Linked DNA regions of Cricetulus griseus. The protein of the gene in region 1 interacts with the protein of each later gene in a pairwise test. Links are inferred from orthologs where the notes say so. Each region holds a gene or a part of one and is shown in the gene's direction. Other genes may lie near its edges.

What was found.
Region 2: the proteins of Meox2 (region 1) and Kdm8 interact in a two-hybrid assay, tested with the Homo sapiens proteins (2 studies listed by BioGRID). The two-hybrid records come from large-scale screens. The link is inferred for Cricetulus griseus from reciprocal best matches to the Homo sapiens genes MEOX2 and KDM8.
Region 3: the proteins of Meox2 (region 1) and Trim42 interact in binary tests that used the Homo sapiens proteins (3 or more experiments, as listed by UniProt). The two-hybrid records come from large-scale screens. The link is inferred for Cricetulus griseus from reciprocal best matches to the Homo sapiens genes MEOX2 and TRIM42.
Region 4: the proteins of Meox2 (region 1) and Sdcbp interact in a two-hybrid assay, tested with the Homo sapiens proteins (2 studies listed by BioGRID and IntAct). The link is inferred for Cricetulus griseus from reciprocal best matches to the Homo sapiens genes MEOX2 and SDCBP.
Region 5: the proteins of Meox2 (region 1) and Nck2 interact in binary tests that used the Homo sapiens proteins (3 or more experiments, as listed by UniProt). The two-hybrid records come from large-scale screens. The link is inferred for Cricetulus griseus from reciprocal best matches to the Homo sapiens genes MEOX2 and NCK2.
Region 6: the proteins of Meox2 (region 1) and Prkab2 interact in binary tests that used the Homo sapiens proteins (3 or more experiments, as listed by UniProt). The link is inferred for Cricetulus griseus from reciprocal best matches to the Homo sapiens genes MEOX2 and PRKAB2.
Region 7: the proteins of Meox2 (region 1) and Smad3 interact in binary tests that used the Homo sapiens proteins (3 or more experiments, as listed by UniProt). The two-hybrid records come from large-scale screens. The link is inferred for Cricetulus griseus from reciprocal best matches to the Homo sapiens genes MEOX2 and SMAD3.

The regions. Positions count from the first base shown.
Region 1 is NC_048598.1:164,594,551-164,599,110, reverse strand, and holds the start of Meox2 (homeobox protein MOX-2), read left to right. Parts: upstream 1-1,503; coding exon 1,504-2,017; intron 2,018-4,560. UniProt on the Homo sapiens protein: Mesodermal transcription factor that plays a key role in somitogenesis and somitogenesis and limb muscle differentiation. Required during limb development for normal appendicular muscle formation and for the normal regulation of myogenic genes.
Region 2 is NC_048596.1:75,356,813-75,360,574, reverse strand, and holds the end of Kdm8 (bifunctional peptidase and arginyl-hydroxylase JMJD5), read left to right. Parts: intron 1-1,592; coding exon 1,593-1,742; intron 1,743-2,632; coding exon 2,633-2,725; intron 2,726-2,802; coding exon 2,803-2,967; 3' UTR 2,968-3,198; downstream 3,199-3,762. UniProt on the Homo sapiens protein: Bifunctional enzyme that acts both as an endopeptidase and 2-oxoglutarate-dependent monooxygenase.
Region 3 is NC_048597.1:205,884,716-205,889,085, reverse strand, and holds the start of Trim42 (tripartite motif-containing protein 42), read left to right. Parts: upstream 1-1,451; coding exon 1,452-1,792; intron 1,793-4,370.
Region 4 is NC_048595.1:154,149,906-154,153,667, reverse strand, and holds part of Sdcbp (syntenin-1), read left to right. Parts: intron 1-1,374; 5' UTR 1,375-1,389; coding exon 1,390-1,440; intron 1,441-3,299; coding exon 3,300-3,378; intron 3,379-3,762. UniProt on the Homo sapiens protein: Multifunctional adapter protein involved in diverse array of functions including trafficking of transmembrane proteins, neuro and immunomodulation, exosome biogenesis, and tumorigenesis.
Region 5 is NW_023276807.1:4,950,435-4,954,196, reverse strand, and holds part of Nck2 (cytoplasmic protein NCK2), read left to right. Parts: intron 1-2,793; coding exon 2,794-2,988; 3' UTR 2,989-3,762. UniProt on the Homo sapiens protein: Adapter protein which associates with tyrosine-phosphorylated growth factor receptors or their cellular substrates. Maintains low levels of EIF2S1 phosphorylation by promoting its dephosphorylation by PP1.
Region 6 is NW_023276806.1:58,812,401-58,816,162, reverse strand, and holds part of Prkab2 (5'-AMP-activated protein kinase subunit beta-2), read left to right. Parts: intron 1-2,191; coding exon 2,192-2,325; intron 2,326-2,932; coding exon 2,933-3,001; intron 3,002-3,762. UniProt on the Homo sapiens protein: Non-catalytic subunit of AMP-activated protein kinase (AMPK), an energy sensor protein kinase that plays a key role in regulating cellular energy metabolism.
Region 7 is NC_048597.1:175,186,758-175,190,519, reverse strand, and holds part of Smad3 (mothers against decapentaplegic homolog 3), read left to right. Parts: intron 1-1,136; coding exon 1,137-1,330; intron 1,331-1,452; coding exon 1,453-1,584; intron 1,585-2,835; coding exon 2,836-2,910; intron 2,911-3,762. UniProt on the Homo sapiens protein: Receptor-regulated SMAD (R-SMAD) that is an intracellular signal transducer and transcriptional modulator activated by TGF-beta (transforming growth factor) and activin type 1 receptor kinases.

The DNA.
Region 1 (4,560 bases):
GTTAACCATAGTGGCACACTCAGAATGTGGGTAAACGACAGGACCCACAGTAAAGTCCCTAGGCTAGTGGCTGTGTCAAACCCAGCCTATCCCCAGCTCTCCAAAATCCACCAGTGGCAAGTTGTGTAGTTCTTTTCCAGGAGGAGACTGTAAACTGGGGGAACTGAACAGTCCTAGCAGAGAGAACTGGAGAGTGTTCAGTGTGGTGTCTGCTTACAACAGACAAGCGGTGAGAAACAGAAAGGGTGAAAAGAGCACCTCAGACAGAAAAAGACAATGTTTGTCCGGAAGGATTAGAGGGGGCTGTCGATTGGCTCCTAAAGAGTTAAACTGGGAGCACATTTCATTTGACATTGCTTCAGATTATCACTGACCTAGGAAAACTTTCGGTGAGCTAATGGTTAGGAAATTGAGCGAGCTGGACTAGTAAAGAGAGGTGGGAGGAGGGTCTGAAAAAGGAGGAAAGAGACACAAGTTGGAGCAGCACTTGTGTGATGCCAGGGCATCAGAAATTGAGTCCATCTCTGCTTCAAGCTTTCCATCCCTCACTCAACCAGGTACCTTTCTTTTCCGCACTTAGAACAGCTTTATGCTATCATTGGGGCACAGCCCTGAAACTTCCAACCTGGCATCAGTTTTATTTTATTTTATTTTATTTTATTTTATCTTTAACAACCTATCCTCAGACAACTGAAAGGGGAAAACCATGTTGCGCTCCCGGGCGCGGGAACTGCGAGTATCGGAGTTTGAAAAGCTAGACTGCTCTAGCCTTTTCCCTTCTCTTGAATTCTCATAAGTTCTCCTGGTCCGCAAGGTCAGGGAGCAGTTCCGGAGCTCCTGCAGGTGACTCCCACCCCTACCCCCACCAAGAGCTGAAAGAGACTCGGGACGGGACACTTGGTGCTGGCTTAGCGAGACTGAGAGTGGGTGCGCGCCTGGCCATTGGGAGCCTATGGGACAGATCGAGGTGGCCCTGCTTATTAAGGCTCTGGACTCTCCACTGGCTGTCGTGGAAGCTCCCAGGGCCGGGCGGGCGTGGAGCAGCCGCTCCTGTCCTGCCAGCAGTTGGGAACTGGAAATGAGAGAGCATGGTGGCGCTGAGTGAGCGGGAGTTTTGGAGAGAGTTTGCATGTGGTCAGCTCTGGGCTCCTAAGCCAGCCCCCAGCTCACATTACACTCTATTTATAACCTCTCTGAGCCATTTCCCCCCCGTGAAAGCAGTTCTCTGGGACCACCTTCTTTTGGCTTCCACCTCTCCCACATTTGACATCTGAGCAGCTGCGAGGGAAGCTCCTCCAGGTCCCAGTGTTTATATGTGCAGGAGACTGGCCGCTAAGGCTCTGGACTGGGATTAGCCAGCTCTGCTCAAAGGCGCGACTCTTAGGGAGTGTGTGAGTGTGGGGGGAAAAAAGAGTTCTAGGATTTCCAGTGAAAAGTCACAGAGCTTGGTGGCCTTTGGGACCATCGTGAAGTCTTCTGCCTGGAAGTCCAGACTTGCATGCCATGGAACACCCCCTCTTTGGCTGCCTGCGCAGCCCGCACGCCACAGCACAAGGCTTGCACCCTTTCTCGCAGTCTTCTCTGGCCCTCCATGGAAGATCTGACCACATGTCCTACCCCGAACTCTCCACATCTTCCTCGTCTTGCATAATCGCGGGATACCCCAACGAGGAGAGCATGTTTGCCAGCCAGCATCACAGGGGGCACCACCACCACCACCATCACCACCATCACCACCACCAGCAGCAGCAGCACCAGGCTCTGCAGAGCAACTGGCACCTCCCGCAGATGTCCTCCCCGCCTAGCGCGGCTCGGCACAGCCTGTGCCTGCAGCCCGACTCGGGAGGGCCTCCGGAGCTGGGGAACAGCCCTCCGGTCCTGTGTTCCAACTCATCCAGTCTGGGTTCCAGCACCCCGACCGGGGCCGCGTGCGCACCAGGGGACTATGGCCGCCAAGCGCTGTCACCCGCGGATGTAGAAAAGAGAAGTGGCAGCAAGAGGAAAAGCGACAGCTCAGGTGAGTGCGGGCAGAGCACCTCTAAGGAGAGTGTTCCCTGGGCTGGGAAGGGGCAGGGATTTGCGAGAAGGTTCTCACAGACAAACTAAGGAATACCTAGCTCTTCCAGTCTCAGTGGCCTGGCCGAATTCGTCCTTGCAGCTTCGGCCCTGTAATTTGGGAGCACGTGTTTCGCTGAGGTTAATATATCTACGTCCAGCCCCTTCAAAGCCCTACAAGACCATAAACTAGTTTTCCAGCGGCGGTGAAAAAAGAGCGAGTGACAGTATGCGAAATCGGTTAAGGAGCATGGCGCTCCATCCACGAGTTGGGAGGGGTGTGAGCCTTGGGATGTTGCATCGGCTGGGCGTTCATGCCTGTGTGCATGCATGCGCTTCTTGGTTTTTCCCTTACAATTTCCCAATTCTGAACAGCTCGAGTTTTCCCATCCTTAACTGGATTTCTAGACTATTGCTCAATATCTTGAACTTTAACTGGGATTTGACAAAATACTCGAAAGAAAAGTTTTATTTTTTTCTTTTTTTAACGTTTCGCTTTCAGAGTTCCGTAAATAGCATTCTACTTAAAATAGTAATAATTTTAAAAAGCATTTAACTTATTTGCCGAAAAAGGCACTATCTAGAAATCTAGAAGTATTCAAGAAATACATCTAAAAATCGTGAATAAATAAATGGATGAGGATTTGAAGAAAGGTCATTCTTGATTAGACTCAGGTGAGGCTATCCTATGGGAAAAAAACAAACAAAAACAAAACAAACAAAAAAATCCCTGAACTTCGAAAGTGGAAAGTAAAAGCCTTCCTTGTTTGAGTAGAGTTTTGAGATGCTCCGGAGAGCACAAGAGCAGCTCGGACAGTGGTGGGAGAAGATGCAGCAGAGTGAACAGCGAAAGTGTGGATTACTTGAGCAGCTAAAGCAAAGGTTTCTCCCCAGTGGTTTCCAGGGCCTGAAAGTTCAGTAGCAAGTGCATTGTGGCAGTTCAGAGAAACTGAGTTTCTAGACAGCACATAACGCCCTTAGCTATAGTTCTCATTATTAAGATGTTTCTCTTTTTCTTCTCCTTCTTCATCCCCTCCTCCTCCTCCTTTTTAATTGCATCTTGCTCTGAAGGAACATGGCAACCTGGGTACATACTTTGGAAGATGTCACTTAACTAAAAAAAAAAAAAGTTTGCATCTATTTAATCTTTTGTGTTAGTCTATGGAGATTTAGGAAATGTGAATCTGGGCATTGGAAATAATGGAAAAGAATGTAGCATGTTAGGCAATTTAGTCCAGGTGTTCTGCAGTGTATGGCAGTAACTGCTGTGTATTTTAAATCATGTTGAAAAATGACAGAAACTTTTCTTGGCCTCCTTGTGGGGTGACCCTTACCAACCTGATGGTTGAACTTTTATTTTCCTAGGTCGGGGATGACTTTTTAATGCTCCACAATGATTAGCTGTGTCTAAGCAATTTACCAGCACTGTCATTGATTTGCAGTGGTTATCTTTAACTACATAGGAAATTCTAAGCTATTGAAAAGATACCAGTGAAAACGTTAGAATGCACTGGGGTTCCCCAGGCTGGGCATTTATGAACTGGAGTGCTTGGATGGCCTCAGCAGGTTGGTAGCTACCACAGCAAGAGCCAGAAGCACTTTTTCTTTCTGCAAGGGGAAACCATGGCCAGCTTCTTAGCTGAATCAATGCCCTAAAGATTATTTATGCACTCGAAGGAGTTTTTGTTGGGCCACAGTTATTTTTAGTTGCAGAAATGGAGAGTAGGACTAAAAAATTTACATCCTTAAGTTATTTTCATAAAAACCGACTTAAAATTGACTAACAGTCGTTTCCATCACATTTACCGATGGAAAATAACCACACAGCAAAGGGAAGCTTGTTTTCATGTTGTGAATCTCATTTTAGAACATAGAAACAAGCAAACAGAATAGAAATTTGTGTCAACCGGGGGTGTAGTAACGCTTGACAAGAACGGGAAGTATGATCATTAGCAAGGATACTATCATGGGGACCAACGTAGAAAGAATGTTTCCATTGATAGGCCATCACAGGCAAGCATCAGTTGTCTTGGTACACTTTGAAAATAAAATCTATATGTTCAATCTCTGAGTTAACATCGATTAGATCATAGGTAAGTTTAACTCCAAGCCATCTATCGCCTTTTTCAGTGAACATTCAACTGAAGATCAAGTCATCTGATACTCTTGTGTAAACATTTTGACTTACTAGAGGATAAAGTAACATAGAAAATAGTTATAATACTGTTCTTTTATCAACGCATAAGCCTCATTAGGCCCAGCTCGATTATTTCAACATAATTAACAAATGTCTGGTAAATTATATTGTACACTCTGAGATTTAGGACTATATTAGGTAAATATTACACCAATCAGAGTAGCAACAACATATATTTAGGCATTACAATCACTGTGTATTTACAGTTGAGAGTATTTACACTGCTTCACATTATGGCAATATTGATATCAAGTCTGCATATACCTGTTGCTAATAGGAGTGCAGTTGCTAATAACTAAGTTCATTTC
Region 2 (3,762 bases), on another chromosome or scaffold:
GCCAAGAAAAATCCATGCCACCATTACAGATGTCCCCTCCCAGAGAAATGAGAATGTAAAGTGTTCAAAGACAGTATAGGAGGCTGGGGAGAGAAGTAGGGGCAGAAACAAAGGGCATCACGGAGGCGTTTTCCAATGCCACCTGGTGGTAGGGTACTCACTGCTACTCCTGCAAGTGCCTGAGACCCCAGCCTCTGTGACCCCAGTCACTCACCACAAAGGAGCCCAGTACATGCCCCCTTCCAGTGGGTCAGCACCTGTGCTCTGGAAGGCTTGTACTGGTCACCAGGTTGCTGTGTGGATCAAGGTCCCGCTGCCTGTCATGACCCATTGCACCAGGTCAAGTCTTCAGCCTTTGCTTACATCATAAGTGGGTAATGTGGAGTGCTGCAGAGTCAATTCTGCTCACTTGCTAGTAAGACCCAAACCCTTCCTCACTCGCTTGAGTGCCTGCCTTGGTCCTCTGGTGGCTGGGAAGTTTATGTACTTGGTCCTAAAGCTCTTTTCTGGCCTCTGAACACTGTTCACTAACTCCTCCCTTCCCAGAGTGGGTTTAGTAAGCAGCCTACTTTGCTGGTCTTTGTAGTAATTCATTTAAAATATACCAGTTGTGATTTCTTCACAGGTAGTAATTTTTTGAAAACCATCCCCTCCAGAGATCTGAAAGTACCCAGTGCACTTGACTCTTGGGGCTTGTTATTTGTTGTTGTTGTTGTTTTTTGTTTTGTTTTGTTTTGTTTTTGAAACAAGGTCTCACTATATCACCCATGCTGACCTCCAACCTGTCATGCTCCTGCCTAAGCCTTCCAAATGATGAAATTACAGCTATGTATCAACAAGCACACTGTGGTTCTTTTTATAGTGTTTTTAACTTAACACTTGATTGATGTGATGACTAGTGCCTTTAAAGCAGATGGAGTTCTGTGAATTCGAGGTCATTCTAATCTACATTATGAGTTCCAGGCCAGCCAGGACTACAAAATGAGCCCATCTCAAAAACAAAAAGACATTACTGTTAGTAAATGGCAAGATGCTTTTGGAGGAAGGGGGGATAAAGAAGCAATACCAGGTTTTAAGAAGAAAAAAAAAATCTATGTGATTTTCTATGTGATAGAAACAAATATGAAGCCGGGCGTTGGTGGCGCACGCCTTTAATCCCAGCCCTTGGGAGGCAGAGGCAGGCAGATCTCTGTGAGTTCGAGACCAGCCTGGTCTACAAGATCTAGTTCCAGGATAGGCTCCAAAGCCACAGAGAAACCTTGTCTCAAAAAACCAAAAAAAAAAAAAAAAGAAAAAGAAAAAGAAAGAAAAAAAAAGAAACAAATATGAAGCACGATTATAATTTTATCTATTATTGATATTTTAAGATTTTATTCATTAGAATATGAACCTAAGCTGGGTAGGATGGCACATACCTGTGATACCTGTACTTGGGAGGCTGAGAGAAGAGGATGAGAGATTTAGAGACTGTCTCAAAAACAAAACAACCAATGAATCAAGGAATGTATTTGGCTCTGTCAAGTAGTCAGATATCAGCTGGGTCCTGACTAGCATACCTAGCTCTGGCTTCTGCTTTCTGCCACTACCCTCAGATCCCAGAGTTGAAGCAGGACATCAGCATTCCTGATTACTGTTGCCTGGGTGACGGGGAAGAGGAAGAGATCACTATCAATGCCTGGTTTGGTCCCCAAGGAACCATCTCCCCACTGCATCATGACCCCCAGCAGAACTTCCTGGTCCAGGTAGGAACTGCTGCCAGACAGAGCTGAGTAAGGAGCTTGTTGTGGTAAATACCCACAGTCCCAGCACTTGGGAGGTTCAAGGCCATCCTTGGCCACCTAGCCAGTTCAAGGCCAGTCTTGAGACCTAGTCTCAAAGAACTGTGTGTGTTTGGGGGGGGGTAGTAAAAAGGATGTAGACAGAAATGCATACAAAAAAATAGTCCTGAGGCCCTGGGGTAGGACTTCTCCCAGGTCAAGGCTACACCCAAGAGGGATTTCTCTGGGGCCAGACAGGAAAGCTCTTGGGAGGAGGGCCTGGCATATTCTAGCAGCCCCATGCCCTCTCTGTCACCTGCCAGCCACCCTCACTCCCACTGCTAGCTTGCACCTGTGGATGGGGCCAAGGTCTCTCAGCCATGGACAGATGTTCCCAGAGACTCAATCAGAGGTTTGTCACAAGGGAGGCAGCACACAGCCACTGCTGTGAGAACTTGTCACAGACTGAGTTGCTAAAAAGACTTAAAATGAGAGCATTCTTGCAGAGCATTGGGCCAGCCCTGCAAGGCAGCTCAGTAGCAGCTAAGAGCCAAGGCCCAGGAGCCTACTGCCTGGCATGGCCACCAGCTGTCACCTTAGTAAACTTGGGCAACCTCTTTGCCTCAATTTCCTCACAACTGAGGTGAAGAGGAAACCCCTGAGATTAAACCAGGTCCACACACAGTGCCTGGCTGAGCTTAGCTACATGCAGAACTATAAGGTACCTGCAGGTGAGCACTCTCTGAATGTCAGAGCATGTGGGACAAGGCAGCAGGACACGGAACACCAGAAAGGCCTGGAAGGACAGGTCCACAGGCCTGTAGTCAGCGGGACAGCCTTGCTGTCCTGAAACTGATGAGTCTCTTGTCTCCCAGGTGTTAGGAAGGAAGTACATCCGGCTGTATTCCCCGCAAGAGTCCGAGGCAGTGTATCCTCATGAGACGCACCTTCTTCATAACACCAGCCAGGTGGGCACATGGGGAATCGGTGACATGGGGCCTGCTGTCCCTAGAGACCAGCAGATGACTTTTCTTGCCTTTTGCAGGTTGATGTTGAGAACCCTGACCTGGACAAGTTTCCCAAGTTTGCTGAGGCCCCATTCCTGTCCTGCATCTTGTCCCCAGGAGAGACCCTCTTTATACCTGCTAAGTATTGGCATTACGTGCGCGCCTTGGACCTGAGCTTCTCAGTCAGCTTCTGGTGGTCATAGCCAGGGCCAGAGTGCAAAGGACCCACCAGGCAGACACCTCACCCAGAGGCAGTGAGCCTGGGGGAAGGCATAGGCCCTGGATGCTGCTAGATTCCAACAGTCCTGCTCCCCCAGCCACTCTGTAAGAGCAGAGCTGCTGTGTGTACCTCGGCCTTCCAAATTATAGATGCTTCATTTCTTTTCTCTGTAACTTGAATTTTTTCAATATCATAAATAAAAATATTTTCTGAATTTAAAAAAAACGTTTCTTCAACCCAATTACCCTGCTGTCTCTGGCAGAGCAGGCAACCAGAGGCATTGGGAAAGGAAGGGTAGGAAGTATGGGCCTTAGGAGAGACACTCTGCCCATGGTCTATTAGTGGCAAGTACTGAAGGAAGGGAGCCACATGTGTCACACAAAGGAGGCTGGCCCAGAGAAGCAGAGACCAGAGCAGTCAGGACAATGAAAAGGCGGACAGGCAGGAGCTGGCTAAGGCCACGGGGCCTACACAATGGGTGAGGACTCTGGAGCCTTGGGAGGCTGGCAGTATAGGCTGTAACTATAAGTGTTTATAGAGTTTGCAGGCCTAGCTCTGGATGGGCTGGCCTGGCTTGTTAGTGATAAAACCCATCCTGGCCAGGTGGTGGTACATGCCTCTAATCCCAACACTTAGGAGGCAGAGGCAGGCAGATCTCTGTGAGTTCAAGGCCAGCCTGGTCTACAGAGTGAGTTCCAGGACAGCCAGGGCTACATAGAGAAACCCTGTCTCACAAAACAAAACAAACAAATCCTGAATTAGCTTAGGTAAAACCTAT
Region 3 (4,370 bases), on another chromosome or scaffold:
AATGTAATTTAATGAATACACCAAAAGGCATTGACTTGTTCACTTTCATGGTGAGTGAATTACATCTCAATGTTTTTAAAAAGAGAAAGAAGGAAGCCTTATAGAGACCAATGTTGAAATGGCCTGTGAATGGAACTCAGATCTCTGCACCCCTGGTGTCGGCAGCTTATTGACAACACTGAATTTGGGCAAACACAGAGGTGTCATGCACCTACTCCCGGTGCTGGTGTAATCTGAAGTATGCTTTGGAGTAATAATTTAATAAGATCTATCAACAGATAAAGCATACCCTAGGATTCAGGATTTTCAACTGCAGAGAGATCTAAGCTCTGTGTGAGGCTGGCCCAGTTAGCACTCAGTGAGTGTTCTTTCCTATTACAAAGGTGATAATCATGGGAAGAGATAATAAATTATTCACTAAAACTCCCGCAGCCAAATTCAGCTCTCACTTCTGCTATCTTTTGGAAATCTAATGAGACAGTGTTCCTGTTCTAGGATGGTGTGGCCATGAAACCTCTGCTCCTTTCATCTTTGCAAGCTGCACCAAGAGGAAAGCAAAATTCTCCCCCATCTATAGGGCCCTGTTTCTGGGGCTCCTGGGTACACATTGACAGAGTAGCTAATGATTGTGTAACCTAGCCTCTTGATAAATGGATACAGTGGGGTGGGCTTGGGTGGAATGGAGTGGGACAGAGGGTCCAGGGGAGAGGAAACAAAGCCTAAGACCCAAATCTGAGTGATTTAAGTGTAATGCCTCAGGAACATGAGCAGGGTCCACTGAAAGAAGGGAGCTCCTGAGGGACCCCACATCTCTGTCCCTTCGGTTCCTTCTTTTTAGAGTGATCGTGACACTGCCATTATTTGTAAATATTGTGCTTGGCTTGTCAAAGAGTTCTGTTGATGGAAGAGAAAAACCATGTCGGCCTGGATTTCTAATAGTCAGACCCTGGTCTTTCAGTCAATAAAGATAAATCCTGAAGTCAACTTACCCAAATATCAGGAAAAGTACCTACCTACCAAGGAAAAGCCACAGCCGAAATCTGTGTGAGAACTTGAAAGGTGACAAATGACCGCTAATGTCTCCAAGAGGTTCAGGGTGCCACCATTCCTGTGGAGTTGCTCGCATGAAAACTTCCAGTATGCACTCACATACTGGATACTGCCCCCTGGGTGTCCTCCTCTTACCTAGCATGTTAAGGCATGGTGGGAGTCAGGGATTATGACATAAGCAAATGTCCACAGGCTGAAATAGGTTAAAGCCAGCTCAGAAGCTTCCTAGGAGGGACATCACCTGTGAAGGCCTCCTAAACTGGCCAACTTCCTGCCACAACTCCCAAACTGCCAGCATCACTAGAGGTGGCAAGGATCCCTCTGAGGGAGAAGTGACCTCAGGAATCTGGTAGAGGAAGTTGTCAAAACTCTAGAGGCCTAGTACCAAGGATCTTAGAGCCATGGAGTCGGCTATGTGTGTTTGTTCTCCATGCTGCACCTGGCAGAGATGCTGCCCTCGGCTATTCTCCTGTCTGTGCTGCAAGTTCATCTTCACCGCAGAGCGGAACTGTACCTGCTTCCCCTGTCCCTACAAGGATGAGCGGAACTGCCAATTCTGCCACTGCACCTGTGCGGAGAACCCCAATTGTCACTGGTGTTGCTGCTCCTGGGCCAATGACCCCAACTGTAAGTGCTGCTGCACATCCAACACCAATATGAAATGCTACTACTATGAGAGCCGCTGCTGCCACAATGCCATCATCACATTCAGAAGGGGTCGCCTTCGGACCCTCCGTATCTCGTAAGTGCTGGCCATCCATCCTGTGGTTACATTGGAAGAAACAACAACAAAAACCCTGGGGAACTCATGCTATCTGTAGGGACCCCAGAACAAGCCAGTGTTTCCTAGAGTGCACTCTACCTGGGAGAGAGAGAAAAAAAAATCAATGGTAATTTTGTAGCAGTTACGAGCAAAGTGAGCATCCACTGGTGGTATAGACCTCAAGTCCCACACCCAAACTCCATCACGGATGCGAATTCATGCTGCACCCTTTGACCCCAAACATCTCATCTTGCAAACAAGTGATAGGTGTATAACTGCTTATGTAACCATTCCTCTCCCTCATTCTGTGCCCACTGGACCCAGGAGGATATTTAACTGGGAGATGCTAAGTTGCCCAGAGCCACACAGCTAGGAAGGGGTAGAGTCATTACTTGAATCCAGAGCTAGGTCAATGGTCTCTAATTAAAAAAAAAATCCATATTACAAAATGTAGACCATGATATGCTGTATGTTCTGTAGCCTGTTATAGGATACAAAAAGAAAATACCAACTGTTCTCCATCTCCCTCCTATGAACTATAACATTTACCTGAGAAGTAAGAACTTCTAGGTACCACTTTTGACCCTAATAACCTACAGAGGTACTTGAACTGCTGGTCACCCCTTCTTTCCTATCCAAAGTCCTGACACTCAGGTTCTCAACCACTCAGTAAGGTAGCAAGCCCAACATCTAGCATACTATTCTTTCTATGTCACATGTCAGGGGACTTAGGAGCAAGAGGAGATTTCACAGAGGAGGGGTGATCACAGCTCAGTCCTTAGGAGTGGGACTGAAATTTGTGCTTTAGGCAGACGCCTTAGGCATCAGTGGCTCCCAAACTTGGAAGTGCATGAAAATCCCCTTGGGATCTTTCAAAACACTCATCATGTTTGGACTCCACTCCTCAACATACTATTTTTCACTGATATTGGGGTAAAACTTGGGCTTCAAAATTGTAAGCACTCTATCCCTATCAGGTGATTCTAATGGGAAGACTGGGGGAGTTGAGGATGGGACCTGGAGGCTTAGAAGGCAGATGCCAGAACAGGGCAGCACTCAGGATGGAGGGACTGATGCAGAGAAGCAGTGGCTGAGCACTTCAGCAAGAAGGCAAAGATGCTGGGCTTAGTGACTGCTTTGGCATAGGATCTAGGGGCCCAGAAGCCTACTTGGGGGTCTTCATTCTGTTTGAGTGTGGGCAGGGATGCGATGCAAGTGCCAGGGAGTCAGCTCTGATTCACTGGTACTTACCTTCCAACTCTGCTCTCCTGGTCTCCAAACCCCTTGCCGGCACAGCATCCTCATTTCTCCCTCACTCTGGTCTAACTTAGCCTTGCTAGCTTCATTCTTTTCCTCACTCCCTTTCTCACAATTACTGCAGCCCCTTGCACCATTAACAGGTGTCTCGTAGTCCTACTTGCTCTCCCTTCTCTCTCTCTTTCTGATCTCTTACACTCTCTCCATTTACTATATACTGATTCTGAGTCTTACATTTTTATCAAAGAAGTCCATGCAGCTACCACATGTCCAATCAACTCGTGACTCCAGGTGACCCTTCCAGGAACAAGCAGGAGGCTGGGAAGTCAAGAGAAAACAAGGCTGAAAATTGTGAGGCTGCCAGCCTGCATCTCAGCATCCAAGCCCTCAGGGCTGAGTTGGCTGTCTGGATGTCTAAGGATATACGGGGGCACTCTGTGACTCAGAGCCACCCTAGGACAATATGCTTGGGAAGCACCTTTGACTGCCAGTGCTCTGAGACACAGGTTTCTTGGCCAAGAAAGAGGAGGAGGAGACAAAGGGAAATCAGGAAGACTAGGACAGAAGAGGACACAGCCCAACACCAAGACCAGTACCTTGTTATGCACAGGGAAATGGTAGGAATAGCCACAATGTGTTCATCACAGCCAAGTCACTTACTTCCCTAACTGCTTTTACACTGACTGCAGCTTCTCAGAGCATGCACTTGAATTCCACAAGTGCAGCCTCCCGCCATTAGTAGATCTTACCACTGAATACATAAAACTGACCTCAGATATTAGACAAATAAAGACCTGTAACTCACAACAGTAGATGCGTGTGTGGGCGTTCATGGGCTTGAATACTATTTCCTCCTATTGTGGTTTCCTCCTCTACTGTGGCCATTAGCTGGTGAATAGCACAGGAGAGGGATTGCAGGGACCACATCCACACTTCCAATGGATCATCTCAGGTATACTTCATAAACTCCCAAGGAAGTGCTGTCATCTTTGATTTCCAGTTGGGGAACTGAGGATAAAAGAGATTCAGAAACTCCCTAAACCAGCAACTCTAAAACTTCCATACTCTGTCACATGTCCGTTTCCCAGAGGCAGACCCTTGTGTATTACTGATGGTCTGAAAGTCAGCTCTCGGGTTCTTGGCTCAGCTCAGAGATTGTCTTGTTTTAGTAAGGTCATTTACTACCTCCCTATGTCCCATCCCACATGCAACAGGAACGGTAATGTCACCACATGCCAGGCACAGCCACCAAAAGCATGCCTATAACTGGGCAAGATTGGATTTGTTGATTCATTGTATC
Region 4 (3,762 bases), on another chromosome or scaffold:
ATCTTGATCAGAAAGCAACAGGAAATGAACTGAGATACTGGACATGGCTTGGGCATAGGAGACCTCAAAGCTCACCTTCATGGTGACACACTTCCTCCAGCAAGGCCATACCTACTCTAACAAAGCCACACCTCCTAATAGTGCCATTTTCTTTCAAGCCATCACAACAGCCCTGGCCAATAACTCAAATGAGGGCTTCTCATGTCTGCTATTGGGGTTTTAGTTTTAATAAGTAGCCACTACTAGGACTGAGAGAGTGCACCACTGAAACAAACTGCCTTCCAATAGTTCTCAATACCTTGTGAGGTGCTCCTTAGCACTTCCAGTAGTGTTTACTATAGCATGTCACATTTAGAATTTGTTGCAAAGCCATATGAAAAGGTCTGGGCTACCTGCTCCAGCCTGATGGCTTTCTGTGTTGCTTTTTTGCTCAGCGTAGCTGGGCTAAGCTGCTAGAGAAGCATGTCCTGTGGGGATCTGGTTGGAGAGGATGGTGGCCCAGCGTGGCTGAGATGCTCTTTGTGCCCCTGATTGCCCTTGCTGAACACGCAGCAGCATCCTGTCTTCTAAGAGCTTCAGCTCTGTTTTTGGAGAGCAGGAAATAAGGAATAGATTTGGAAGTAGGAGGTTGATGGGCTGGCTCAGTAATTTGCCAAAACCTTTTAACAATTAGGATACATTCTGTTTTATTTGGCTAAGTGGGAAGTCTTGGGTATTTATCTCAGAATGTCTAAACAAAATGTAAAATGTGTGTCTGCAATATTACAGAGAATTTTAAATTGTTGCAAAAAAGCTATTTATGGTAGCTTAAAAAATGTTACAGCGTAGAAATATTAAAATGAAAGGTAATAATTTCCTTCTTAGAGCTGTTTCCTCAAGATAAAACCATTGCTAAAAAATAAACAGATGGCATATGTTAGTTTTTCCTTGTACGTATGTGTATTCTCCCAGTGCTGTCATACATGCTGATACTGCATACTGTTTGCTCTTGGCTCTAGTTGTTAGAAGGTAATAGATCTTGTGAAAGGCCCGTTTCCTGACCCTGGCTTTGCTGAGGGGCACTGTGTCAGCTAAGCAAAAGTCATATGCCTCTTGTCTTTGATATTCACAACTTGTGAAGTTAAGGCAGCCTTTCTTGTTAAGGTTTAAAATCCACGATGAATGTAGTTTGGTAGCTATGGGAACAGAGATGGAGTTTGGTAACAACTATTAAATGTTAACAACTATGATATGCCTTAACCAGTCCTGTTGTTATGGCTTTTGAACTTACATGTTTATTGTATTAAACAGCACTGTCCATGTTTATGTGCATATTGCTGGCCGTACATACTGTGTATATTTCTATGACATTAAAAACTTTTTTTCTTCTTTTAGAAAAAACCTGCAAAAATGTCTCTTTATCCATCTCTTGAAGATTTGAAGGTAGACAAAGTAATTCAGGTACGTTTGCTTTTAATTTTAAGAATTATTTCATAACATGTTCACTAGTGAAATGAAATGGGAAGCATGCATTTGTTGGTGTATTGCTATGTCTAAGTCTGTTGTAGACTAAACTTTCTCAAGAAGACTAGAAATTCTTTTTTCTCTCTGTATATTTGTTAGCCCATGCATGCATGTGTATGCCATGGACACATGCGTGTAGACTCCTGTGAGACCAGAAGAGGTCTCTCTGGAGCTGGAGTTACAGATGGTTGTGAACAGCCAGGTTCCATAGGCTCCAGTGCTGGGAACTGAACTTGGGTCTGCTTTACGAACACTATACTTTCTACAGCTTAACCCCTGAACCACTCTCCAGCCAGATAGTATTTCTTTTAAGTATTTCTACAGTCTTCAGAATGTTTCATTTTCTTAGTACAGTCTAAATTGCATATAACTCATAAAAGTTGGAGTATATAATATGCATGTAAGTCTTTAGATAGTCATAGTTTTGTGTAAAGTTGGTACATTTTTCTTGATACCATTCTGGGGTGAAAGGAGAGTGAACCAGGTAGTAATAGTAGCTCAGGTGTCCCAGGGACTGATGCAGTGGCACTAGGTGGGGAAATTGCTCCAAGGACAGTTTTTTTCCAGCCTCAGTCTAGGAAGGATATTACATGTAGCTTTTAGCATCTGAAGTGTGCAGTGAGCTGCCAAGGAGGGATGCTTCTAAGCTATGAGGGGCATGGTTAGTCATTTTTAAATGTCTGCCTTTTCTGTGGTGTTAAGTTTTGCCCCTCCTGTGGTAATTTTCACAAAGTTCATCTGAACATGCTCTCTTTTCATAAAGCTTTTATCTGAAATACTTGGCCTAAAATCAATCAATATTACATTAGTACATTAAGGATTAACATACAGATTGCAAAAAATGATCTTTGTCCATGTTATTCTTTAGTAGCTGAGTATGGAATTGAACTTAAGTTAACCACAGTTGGCTTTTAGTAGAGGGTTTTCACTGTGGAAATACAGAAGGCAGTTGATTTTGACAGATGTTTTCCTGGCCTTCAGTTTACGTCAGCTGGCCCCTTTAAGAGAAGTGGATTCCTTTCAAGGACCTTCAGTGTTCAGGGCAGAGAGCTAGCTACTGGCAGATGGAACAGGGCTGGGCAGAGGTGGGGTATGGCTCTTCTGTTCTGGTTAGATTTCAAAACACTCTTAGTCCAGCCTTTTGGGCTAGTTGTTGTGCTTCATTATCTAGGGTGGGTGACTGCTTGAGATGCCCTGGCAAGAAGTTACAGAGGAATGTTACATTCCTTCTTGTCTTCTGGCCCTTTGCACCACAGCAGTGAACTGGCAGTTCATATTCCGTAAATTATTTTGCAATAGCCGTTAAGCCGTGGCTTTCAGTGCCACATACTCCTAGAACCATTTTCAATTCCGAGCTCTTTATAGCCTGGGCCTGTCTGTTATGCGTGAAGGCCGGTATTCAGTCCAACCCCAGCATGAAATAAATGAGCATAGTAGCACATGCCTGTAAACCTAGCACTTCAGAGGTGGAGGAGGCAGGAGGATCAGGAGTTGATGGTAATGCAGTACTCAGCTAAATGGGGAGTTTGATGCTAGCCTGGGCTACATCAGGCTTCATCTCAAATACCAATAGAGAAAGCACATACAGTGGATTTATTTGCAGAATACTGTGAAGCACTGACTATAAAAAAGATACATTTTTTTTTATTTATAGATTTCCTTTGGAAAATAAATGGTTGCTGAAGTATTTAAAATGAAACTTTGAGTAAAGCTTCAATTGTTCATTTCTTTTGGGAAATTCTATCTAGATTTAACTTGTAAATCATTTAAGTATATGTAAATATTTTCTTTTCTAGGCTCAGACTGCCTTTTCTTCTGGCCCTGCCACCCAGGCAGTTTTGGTGGATGTTTCTGGTGCTTACCCTACAGATGGAAGTAGGTTCATACTTTGGGCTCATTTTCTTTGGAAAGAAATATATACAAAGCCTTTTTTTCTCCCTCTGAAGTTCAGAACCTAGGATTTTGACGTTATATGAATTTGTGATTAACAATCCAGTAGCAGTAAGGAAAAATGGTTTACTATAGAACTAACCTGTATTTAATCAAGAGAGTGCTCTCTGAGTATGAAGGTATGTTTTAGGACATAATGCAATTGTATTTTAGTTTGAGCCATAGTCCTTAACATGGCCTGGTCATTAAAGGGGAAGCACTGTTGCATGGAGCTTCAGCTTTCCTGATAAGATGTAGCTGCCTGCAGGCATTCTGAGCTGCCTCATTACACCTTTGTGGGGAGTTCAGAAGCTCCCTTTGAGGTTGAGT
Region 5 (3,762 bases), on another chromosome or scaffold:
CCTCGATTTGAATTAAGAACACTCCAGACTCCTGGCACTCCTGCTTAGCATAAGTTGATTGTATGTCCTTGACTTGACAGTTTCCGCTCAAGAAGCCCATGAAATTAAAATCCCCTTCCCCGATGCAAGATTTTACTGCTGTGTCCTAACAAGCCCACACACGTCATGGTGTCAAATTAAGGATCTCAGCTGAAAAGCAAATTTCCCTGTTTGGAAAGTCCTATTAATTAACAAACACCAGACACATCAATGCCTACTACAGTCATCCCCAGTTAACGCCCCTGAAAACAAGGCTTCGTTGACATGGTTGGTTAAAGAACCATCAGAGTAGTCTGGCTCCTGGCAAGCTGACACAGGGAGGGTGCCCCATCTTAGCTCAGAATAGATGTACTTGCAGAATATTAATAGTGCAGAGCCTGGAACTAAAATATAGTCCCCCTCACCAAAGAGAACCTGGGACCACTGGGAGACGGTTGAATAGCTCACAACTTGTGTGTGTTCTTGTATGAAACTGATGACTGCCTGGAGACCTTAGTGCCCGTGTCTAGGCTTGTGACAGTGTGTGCCTGTTGGGTAGTACCTGTTGCTCACTTTCCAAGTGGGCCACAGAGAATACCAAGGCTAACTTATATCTATCTGTAGCTATCATGGTTATCAGGTCAATGGTAGGGATACTACTGGTTACATTGAAGTTTAATACTGGCATCAGAAGGCACTAGCCAGTGTTGCCAGCAATTTGAATATTCCCAAAAGGCATCAAACTGTAGTTTGCCTCATTCTTGGGCGTCTGGGAACATAATAGCTGTTGTAGATGGTGTTTATTTAGGCTAGGTGGCATACTTGTAACTTGTATCCAACTGTAACTATCTTGGTTACCAGGTCCATGGTTGGGATATCATATCACTACATTCAAGTAACCATCTTTAATATTGACACTAGAAGGCAGGAACAGTGATCCCAAAGAAAGCAATCTGCAACTTGCAGCATTACTGGGGTTCCTAGAGCATAAAAGGGTCTGTGTGTTGTAAATGTTGTCCATGGGGACTGTTGGCATGCTCACCTGTGACATCAGTGTCCATAATCCTTTGAAGAAAAGGTCAGGTTCTGTGTCTTACCCACCCAGGGGTTCATGCATGGCCCTGATACTAAAAACCTATACCCTGAGGCCCATCTCTTGCTGGGCCTTCTCCCAGCCATCCAGCCCTGGGCATAGCATGGAAATATAACAAATTCAAACTGCTATTAATTGTCATTCCTTTCTCAAAGCATCAGTGGCTGGTGGGCAAGCCTGCTGCCCCAGGCTCCTATCCTAGAATGGCCAATGGCAAGCATGGACTTCTTGTCTGCAGTACTTGCCCACCCCATCAAATAAGCCATGGGGCTTTGTGACCTTTGCATAGAGGACCTGATGGAAAAGAGGGCTAGATACTGGCTCCTGAGAAGCAACAAGTCCCCAGGGATGGAAAAAGCAGGAGCAGACTTGAAAGGTCCTGTCATGGGTGTGGCCTTACCGCTTCAGGGTGAGCCCTGAGGTGCAGCCTGATCCTGCCTAGGCAAGCAGGCTTTAGAGGGATGTTAGAACTTTTGAGAACATCCTTTAGGGAATGGCTAACCAGTGGACAAAGGACAGTTCAAGAACACTGTAAGTGGAAGTAAAAGGGGTCCAGGAGTGTGAGTCTCTTCACTTCCTCCTGAGCCACACTACCTCTTTAGTGCCACAGAAAAACCAGTCCTCCTGTCTCTACAATATGTCCCATGCACACTGCCTGCAAAATCCTGCTGCCCATAACTTAGTTTCAGCTCCTCTATCTGTAGAGGCCTTTCCTGGCTCCATCACAAGTGTGCAAATATATCACAGCAGTCACCTGTTTACTCGTACAGAGTCACACACATGGATGTACACACGCTTAATATCTCTATTCACTCTTACCCACAACTTTCACAAAATGCACGACTCCTTCATACACACAAAGCACACAGCTAAAATTGTGTCTCCCAGCTCATGAGCTCATGAAGTTCCCTTTTTCTTTATAGAAGGTAGCACAGTTTGCAGTCATGGACTGACCTCCATGCTTGCCCTCCTTACTGGTGTCCTTTAAAGAGTCACATGCCCATATGCAGGGCAAGGGCTGCCTGGCATGCAGTCCACATTAAGTAAACATTGACCCAATTGATACCTCCACTCAGTGCCCTTCCTTTTGGCTTTCAGTAAATGGACAGAATGGCCGATTTTACTAAAAATACTAGCATATGCCAAAATATACTCAGGTCAGTAAGGAACTGAACTCATCACAGATTTTAGACTTTTCTCATTGAAATCTGTGCTTGAACCACCATGGAGCCATCTCTGGGACATGGCAAACTGTTTAAAACACACCCAAGCTGTCCACTGCCTTGACGGTATCTATTGTTTAAAAAGAGTTTACATTCTAACAGAAATCGAAAGAAACAGTTCCGGTTTTCCGGTTTTCCCGCCTGCGTGAAAGCCGTTTTGAATAATTCCCAATTTGTCAGAAATGATTTGGGGAAATGGATATCTCGGGGTTCTTCTGCCTCAAGGTTGACCCCGCTGTCATTCTCTCTATAATGAGTTCCTGCTTGTCAGAGGGTGCATCTATCCCTCGAATCCATGTGAAGCAGAATTTCATGAGTGGTTGATTGCAAACTGGAAAGCCCTGGGCTGCAGGTCGGTCTAAGGACTGTGCTGCTCTGGGTGAACACAGTGCTTGCTCAGGCAGACCCTGGTCTCCACGGTGCTACCCTGCTGATAACTCCCGTTTGCTTCCTCCCCAGCCCAGTGACTTCTCTGTGTCTCTCAAAGCGTCAGGGAGGAACAAGCACTTCAAGGTGCAGCTGGTGGACAGCGTCTACTGCATTGGGCAGCGGCGGTTCCATAGCATGGACGAGCTTGTGGAGCACTACAAGAAGGCCCCCATCTTCACCAGCGAGCACGGGGAGAAACTCTACCTCGTCCGGGCCCTGCAGTGAAGGCAGCCGTCAGCCTTTCCATGCCCTGCCCGCTGTGGGCCTCGCTGCCACCTCCGCCTCCTAGAGCCCAGCGGTGCCAGCCACCTCCACCCACGCAGCCTGGATCACCTCCGTGGCCCAGTGTGTTCTCTGCAGCCCTGTTGGTCCAAACATAGCTACCCAGGCCCTCATAGCCATGCCCGCGGCCACCACCTTCTGGCCACCTTCAGGTGGTGAGGGTCAAAGGGAGCAAAGCTGCTCACTTTTTTCCTTTATAATTGGAAGCAGTCTGTTTAAATCTTACACACACACACACACACACACACACACACACACACACACACGCGCGCGCGCGCGCGCGCGCGCGCAGTAAAAGACTGAGGCTTATTCAGAGGGCAGAAAGTCTGTTATGTAGTGAATAGCACACTCTGAGAGCTGTGTCCACGGGTGCTTGGTGCCTCCCATCAGCCATGTTGGTCCAGGACCTGCATTTTTTATTTTATTTTTACTTTTTTTTGGCTCCAGGCTCTGCAGGAGTCCAAGAATGTGCGGATAGCAATACTGGAAACCCTGGGGAGATGGTGGTGAGGGAACTGCCCAGTGCCTTTGAGGCTGTGCTTGCAATAAAAGAGGGTTTTTTTTGTTTTTTGTTTTTTTGTTTTTTCTTGGTCTGCAAAAGAGGGGACTGCAGAAAGAAACTCGGGTAATGTACCCCCAGGTGTGCCATCCACATAGTGCTCTTTCCCTCTTGCCCTCCGGCTTGTTTGAATTTCACAATTATGTATTTAATTCTCA
Region 6 (3,762 bases), on another chromosome or scaffold:
CTAGTTTGAGAGCTCAGCTGACAATTATGGTTTTAGGAGAGCCTACAAGTGTAATTGTTGCTGAGGGAAAAAGAGAAAAGAGAGAAAAAAACAAACCAATAGCTGTTCTCCATGGAGTTGAATATACAGGGTGAAAGTCCTGTTTATTTTTGTTTGGTGTAATACCACTTTCCCCAAAGTCTTTATAGCTGTGCTTGTTCGCTGTAGTAGCAGAGGCACGTTTTGCAAACCATATCCATAGTTACTATCTCATTACTGTATGATGGAGTTGTGCCTGCCTGGAGAATTGCACACTTTCTGCACTGAGCATATGGCCTCTTGCATACAAAGTCTGCCTCTGCTACTTGTTATGCCATCGTGCAACTGACTCCCAGCAGTAAAATTGAGGGCTTGGACCCTCAGTGAGCCTCTGTCATATTGTCTGAAGTAGAGCACATAGCAGAATCTCAAGGACAAGGGACAAATTGTCCATAGCACAGTAACTACCAATTTAGAAAAAAAAAATGTTTCATTATATAAACTCAGAAAGTTATGGTGAGCATTCTTATTGGCTGGAGGGGTGGTGATCTTAAAAGGTTTATATTCTGAGGCCACTAGGACTATGATTATATTATGATCTGCAAAGTAACCAAAGAATATTTGACAGTCAATCATAATTATGTAATGGGAAGACTAAAACACTTTCGGGTTCACCCAGTTTCCTAATCCAGTGATGTAAGGCATAGAATCCATTTATTAGGAATATACAGATAATGGGTGTAGGCATGTACATAACTTTTCAATGTCCTACTTGGATTTTTTAGTGCCATGGACAGCACTTGAAAATTGTCCTGTGTTATTTACCAATGGTGTTTGTGGATATTTAATACAATGTTGTTGCTACTTCTTTCCTTTTGCCTTATATGTTGAAGCAAATTTGAGTTATTAAAATAGACTTACTAAAATCTTTTCTTTGGAACTTTAAAATTGTGAAACAAAGAAAACATAGTTCATTTAATTTTTGTAAATTTAACCTGAATGCTTTTCATTTTTTAAGTAGAATTCCGGTACCATAAAACACATATTTTTTAATTGTAAAATTTATCCTTTTATTTATTTATTTTTTTGATTATTGAATTTTAAAACCCATCTCTTTCTCCTCTCTGCCCTGTGTCAGTCACAAAGCTTCTGCCATATGCATTTGCCTGTTCTGGACAGTTCATACAAATGTAACCATGCACCATGTGGCTTCTTTCATTTAGCAGGCTTCTGGGGCTTTCATCCTTGTTGAAACATGTATCAGTACTTTGCTTGTTTGTGGCTGAATAGAAGTCCACGGTATGACAGTTCCTTCTTGGTTGTCCATCCCTTGTCGACAGACATTTGTTTTCTGCTTGGAGCTCTTACAAATTTTGCTTAAGAACACTCATGGTCAGATTTTTTTTTTTGGGGGGGGTAGCTTATGTTTTATCTTAGGTGATAAACCCAATATTGTAATTACTGGGTCACAAAGTTTCACTGTTTGAGGATGACTATACTGTTTTCCAAAGTGGTTGCACTATTGTTCATTTCTACCAGTGGTGGAAATACTGTAGTTTGAAGCCACAGTATTTGCCAGTGTTTCCCAGTACTTGCCATTTCAGCGGCAGCCATCCCACTGAGTATGAAGTGGTATTTTTTGTGGCTTACATCTACACTTCCTTGACTACAGCTACAGTGTGTTCTGTCTGCTGTAATCATTGTAGACTTAGAGTGTATAACGTTGTTGTCTGTTACTTTGGTAGAAATAAAATGAAATCTAATCTTTTCACATTGAGTTCACAGAGCATCTTTATTTCTACTATCACTTTGATTTTTTTCAAAAGCACTATGACTTGGGAAGATTTTTATCTTGAGGATGAGGAAACTGACCATATTAAAGGGATCTGTCCAAGGACATATCGCTGACAAATGGAGTTGGTTTCCTGGAGCCTAGGTGCTGGCCTCTCATCACTTCCTTACATCATGTTGCCTTGTTGGGAATCTTCCTGGTCCATGTTCAGGACAACTCAGACATTTCCTTTGCTCGCTTACAGTTACAGGCCAGTAGGTCACAAGTCCGTTGCTTCAGGACCTATATTACATTTAAGATTAATGGCTGTGTTGATAGTTTTCCTCATGCGTTATTACTAACCCTTCAACTTTCCTTCACGTTTGCATGAATATTTTTCAGACCTATCCAGCTCACCCCCAGGGCCTTATGGTCAAGAAATGTATGTGTTTCGATCTGAGGAGAGATTCAAATCCCCACCCATTCTGCCCCCTCACCTACTCCAAGTTATTCTTAACAAGGACACTAATATTTCAGTGAGTATCCTGAGCAGGTTGCTAAAGCGTCTGGGGAATCTTAGGACCATTGAGGCCAAACTTCAGGAATCTTGGGGCTGGAATTAGGACCCAGCTTTGTCAAGGCAATGAAATAAGCCATGTGCATGTCAGCAGCACTGTAGAATACTTTTTCCAAGACTGAACTTTAGGTACCAATAGCGGAATTTATAGTTGTTTCTGTTTCTAGTAAAATCAGAACCAAACTATGCTGGAATTAATGTCTACTATGACTTCTAGTCTATCACAAGATAAGGGTACTCTCACTAGGGGTTATACAGAATTCACAACTTTTTATGTAAGTAAATTTTATCTCTATTTTACTTAATTGATGGTTGATTCCCAAACCATCTATACCTGTCAGCAAGGTTTTTGTTTTAATTCTATTAAGGAAAGTTAGCAGATGTTGGGGCTTAGCATTTCACTCTTAGATTTAGGATTTTTCCAGATTTTATGATGTGGGAATACATAATTCATAGGAGACAAAGTGTTACCTATTTAGAGTTCTTAACAGTTCAAAGGAACAGTTAACTTGGTTTTGTCTGCATTTAATCACATTTGTGGGGGGTGGGGCTGTTTTTTCTCCTAGTGTGACCCAGCCTTACTTCCTGAACCCAATCATGTTATGCTGAACCATCTCTATGCGCTGTCCATTAAGGTAAGTGGTGGCCGCGACGCTCCACAGCCTCCCGAGTGGAAGGGTAAGAGTCACACATGCTTTTCGGTGGTAACTTGCTTTCTGCGGCTTTTAAAGCTGCAGTTGACACTGACAGTCAAGTTACAGAAGAGCCGTCTTTTCATACCTCAAGGCTGTTTGATTTTAAACTTCAGTCTCCTTTGAAGCTTCCCCCACCCCTCAGACAGGGTTTCTCTGTGTAATAGCTCTAGCTGTCCTGGAACTTGCTTTGTAGACCAGGCTGGCCTTGAACTCACTGAGATTCACCTGACTCTGCCTCCCAAGTGCTGGGATTAAAGGTGTGCACACCACCACCCATCAAACAAATTATTTGTTTTTGGTTCTGGGCTCAAGCTAGCTGAACTGTCAGTGATGGGGACCTTTCTGCTTCCCAGTGTCTGTGGGTGGCTGGAACCTTTGTACCACCTGTTTACTTAAGTTGGAGTTCAGGTAGTTGGATTCCATGTGCAGAAAATCAGGTATAGCTTCCTTCAACAAGTTCTTGAGTAAGACAGTAGAGCTTCCTAAGATATGGAATCAGCTGCAATGAGATGCCCTGCTTGTGTATACCACACGTTTCTATCGCTTGTATAGTAGATAGGGAGTTGGTTTTACCAGACGTCTATGTTTTTCCCACCCTTTCCCTAGAGTCCTTAGTTTCTCTGTTGCTTTAGTATCTTTGTGGCTTGAATGTTAGCATAAAGGTATGTAGTTCTGTGGCTGGCTAAGCCGGTCCTTGAGGG
Region 7 (3,762 bases), on another chromosome or scaffold:
GTTTAGGCAACAGGGAGACTGTCCCCATTTTACAGATGCAGCAGTTGAGGGTCCTGGGACCCAGGGCTGCCTAGTCAGAAGCATGAGCCACATCTTCAGGTCCTGTGACTGCACATCTGGCTGACTTCCTTGTGTGTCTCCAGGACTAGTCTCAGACTGTCCTCTCTTGTTCGGCTCAGTAATTACTGTTTTCAGCTGTAGGGGCTCCTTGGTCTGGGCCTCATGGGAGGGAGGTAATTACATCCTTCCACATGCCCTTAGTCAGCAGCTCTCAGTCAGCCCCTGTGACCAAGCCCAGCACTGACCTCTGTCCCTCCCAGTCCAGGCCAGTGGATTGGAGATTGGTTGGACCCTCTTTGGCTCTGGTTGGCACATGTGGCCAGCCCTTCTCTTATAAAGCACTTATATAATCTGTTGGATTCAGACCCATAGGTGCCCTAGGGACAGAAGGTCAGTTTTCAATGGCTCTCTGCTAGCTTGACCCAGCTACTAGAAACATCATGTTCCTAACCCAGGGCTCCTAGGCCAAGCCTTCTTGTGGAAGGGGCAGCCCTGCCTGCATTACTCTATACTTGCCACCCCACCCTCCCAACCTGTGGGCCACCTGCAGCCAGACTTATCACAGCACTTGACTTTTTCACTCCTGTGCATGAACACAGCCCACATAAACATCTTAGAGGCCATTTACTGCTTTTACAGAAAAGTCAGACTCCTCATCAGATCAGCTGTACCTGCTATCTAGCTTCCTACTGTAGTCTTGTACTTAGCCTTCACCCTGTCCAGTGGTTGCCTCTACAGGGGCAAGACTGGTGTCATGTGTACCTGTTTGAGTGTATTTCAAGCAGGTTCCCTTCCTTGAGAGCTGCTGCTGGGAGAACTCTGGGGTCTATTGGATGCAAGGTCTCTCTTCTAGCTGGGAAGCCTTGGCCTTCCTTGGAGGACCTCCTTGCTTCTTGGGAGCTGGGACAGGACAGTGGTACTTTGATTTCTTGGTCTCTGGTGTCTGGGGGAGGAATGAACTTGAGAGTATCTGCCAGCAAACTTGAACTCCCAAGGAGCTGCTGGTGGTTGGACATGGGAGACAGCAGTCCAAACCTACTTCACTGACACCTTCTGTCCCTTCTTTGCCATGGCAGGTCACTGGATGGCCGGCTGCAAGTGTCCCATCGGAAGGGGCTTCCCCATGTTATCTACTGCCGCCTGTGGCGATGGCCTGACCTGCACAGTCACCATGAGTTACGGGCCATGGAGCTATGTGAGTTTGCCTTTAACATGAAGAAGGACGAAGTGTGCGTCAATCCGTACCACTATCAGAGAGTAGAGACACCAGGTATGTGTGTGCAGCCTTGCCTTCCCCATCCCACTGACTCTGGAGGGTCTAAAGTGCCACTGGGACTGTGACTTCGGTCCCCTGGCACTGACCCACCTCTGTTGTGTCTCCCTTGGGGACAGTTCTACCTCCAGTGTTGGTGCCACGCCACACCGAGATCCCGGCCGAGTTCCCCCCGCTGGATGACTACAGCCATTCCATCCCTGAGAACACTAACTTCCCCGCTGGCATTGAGCCCCAAAGCAATATTCCAGGTAGGCATGGGTGGCAGCACAGGCAGCCAGGAGGCAGGGATGATGCCATTTCCCCATCCTCTCCATGTCGTTGTTCATGCAGCAGGCTCGTGGGCCCTGATTCTGAACCACATCCCAGCCGGGAACCATTGGTGGCCCAAGCTCCCCTAACGATGTTTTTCTTGGCATGAAGGACCCTGTGACCCTTCTGCGGGGCCTCAGTGCCGTCATTTATTTTCAAAGCGGAAATAGCAACACTGTGTTTCTGCTCTCCCTCCCAGCCCATAGGGCTGGCACACAGGCGGGGTCCCTGAAGGGGAGGGGCTGCAGAGCATGGGGTGAGGAGTACCCTGAGCTTTGGACTGGGCATAGTGGAGCTGAGGCAGTAGATAGAATGGATTTCATTGTCACTGTGCCAGTGCTTCTAGAAGCCCCTCATTTACATGCAAATAATGTGTGAATCACTGCCAGGCACTCTGGGCATCCAGGGAAGCTGTGCTTGGCCACGCTAGGGCCAGTCAGGGCAATTTTTGCTTTCGGGGCAGTGATCCAGCTGTGTTCCTTTTAGAGCGTTCTAATTTGGATGTGGCTTTCGCTTTCTGGGTTGGCTTACTGGGCTGAGGTTAGCTGTGGCCCGTGTCTTGGGTCAGGACGCATGCACGCTGAGGCCAGCTGTCTGGCTTCTCAGATACTCACAGGTAGTACTGGGCTCTTGGGGGCTTGGGGGGGGGTAAGCTGTTTGCTCTCTGTCAGATGGCAGACTTTGGAGGGCTAAGGCAGGGTGGGAGGGTGAAGTACAGTTCCAAGAAACGGCTCATGAGTGTGCCACCACTGAATGGCAACTTCACTAGGGAGTTAAGCCACATCCCCTAGAGACGACAGTGACAAGAGCAGCCGATCTGTACAGGGACAGGCTCAAGGCCACAGCTCCTCAGGGGGCAGAGATGGTAAGGCAGGCATGTCCTAAAGCCTCCCTTCTTAACCTGACCTTGAAGGATGGGGACAAGCCAGCTAAGCTGTAGTCCTAGAGCAAGGCATTTCAGAGTTAGGAGTCAGTGTGTTAGGATCCAGGTTAGGAGCCAGAAGGCAACACTGGACAAGTCTGAGCATGGCCGAGGCCAGGAGCTGATACCTTCCCTTAAGGCCCAGGTTCCTTCTAGGCACCCTGTACTTGGTGGTGGAATGAATGCAGGATATATTGGCCAACAAATGGAATGTCAGGGCCAGGCCTTGCATTTCTTTTAATGGAGCTGCCTGCCTTCTCATCTCCAGAAACCCCACCCCCTGGCTACCTGAGTGAAGATGGAGAAACTAGTGACCACCAGATGAGCCACAGCATGGATGCAGGTCAGTAGTGTGTGCATTCCTGCAGACCTGTTCTCCCCCGCTTCTGTCTCCCTGCTTTCCTGTCTGGCTAGTGTCTACAGAGTATCCCCCGTGTGCCTCGTACATCACTGGTGGAAGGAACTCTGTGCCATAGGGACACAAAGTGGTTTTACTGGCAGTGTAGCCTGTCCCAGATGTTGAGGTGTTAGACCATCGGGTTGGCAGAGGGTAGAAGGTGGTTCCCACACTCAGCGCAGTGCAGGTGAACAGGGAGGGGAACCTGCATGGAGGAATGGCCTTTGCTGGTGGCCAGCAAAGATACCAGAAGCAACTTTTTTTTTCTTTTTCTTTTTTTCCAAATGTAGTGGCCAACTGTGATCAGCGTGCCCCTGCTGGGAGGGACTGGCCCTAGTTTTCTCCTGCTATGTTCCCAGATGTTTCTTGTGTCATATGTTATGGGACCAAATTGGTTCCAAACCAGCAGCTTCTAGGATAGAGCCCCAGCTGCCACACAGGACCTGTTCTATAATGTGTGGCGGGTGAGGAGGGAGAAAAGGGCCCAGCAGATGTTCCGTTCCCACGGTGGCGGGCTGCCTCACGCACAGACCACAAGAGGTTACACAATTCACAGAAGGGTGAAAAAGGATCACACGGGGGAGAAGCGTAGTCACAGGGGTGTTGTGCTTTTAGGTCAAGCACACCCCCAAAACACACCCATCCAGGCATGTGGCTGGCAGCATGGACCCAGCTGGAATGCATGGAAGACCTTCCTGTACTCAGTGCCAAGTGGCCACTGCAAACTTGCAGCTATGCACGGAGTGCTGGCATGGGAAGTGAGCCAGCTAGGCAGCCTCCCTCCAGCTGCAGAGCGTG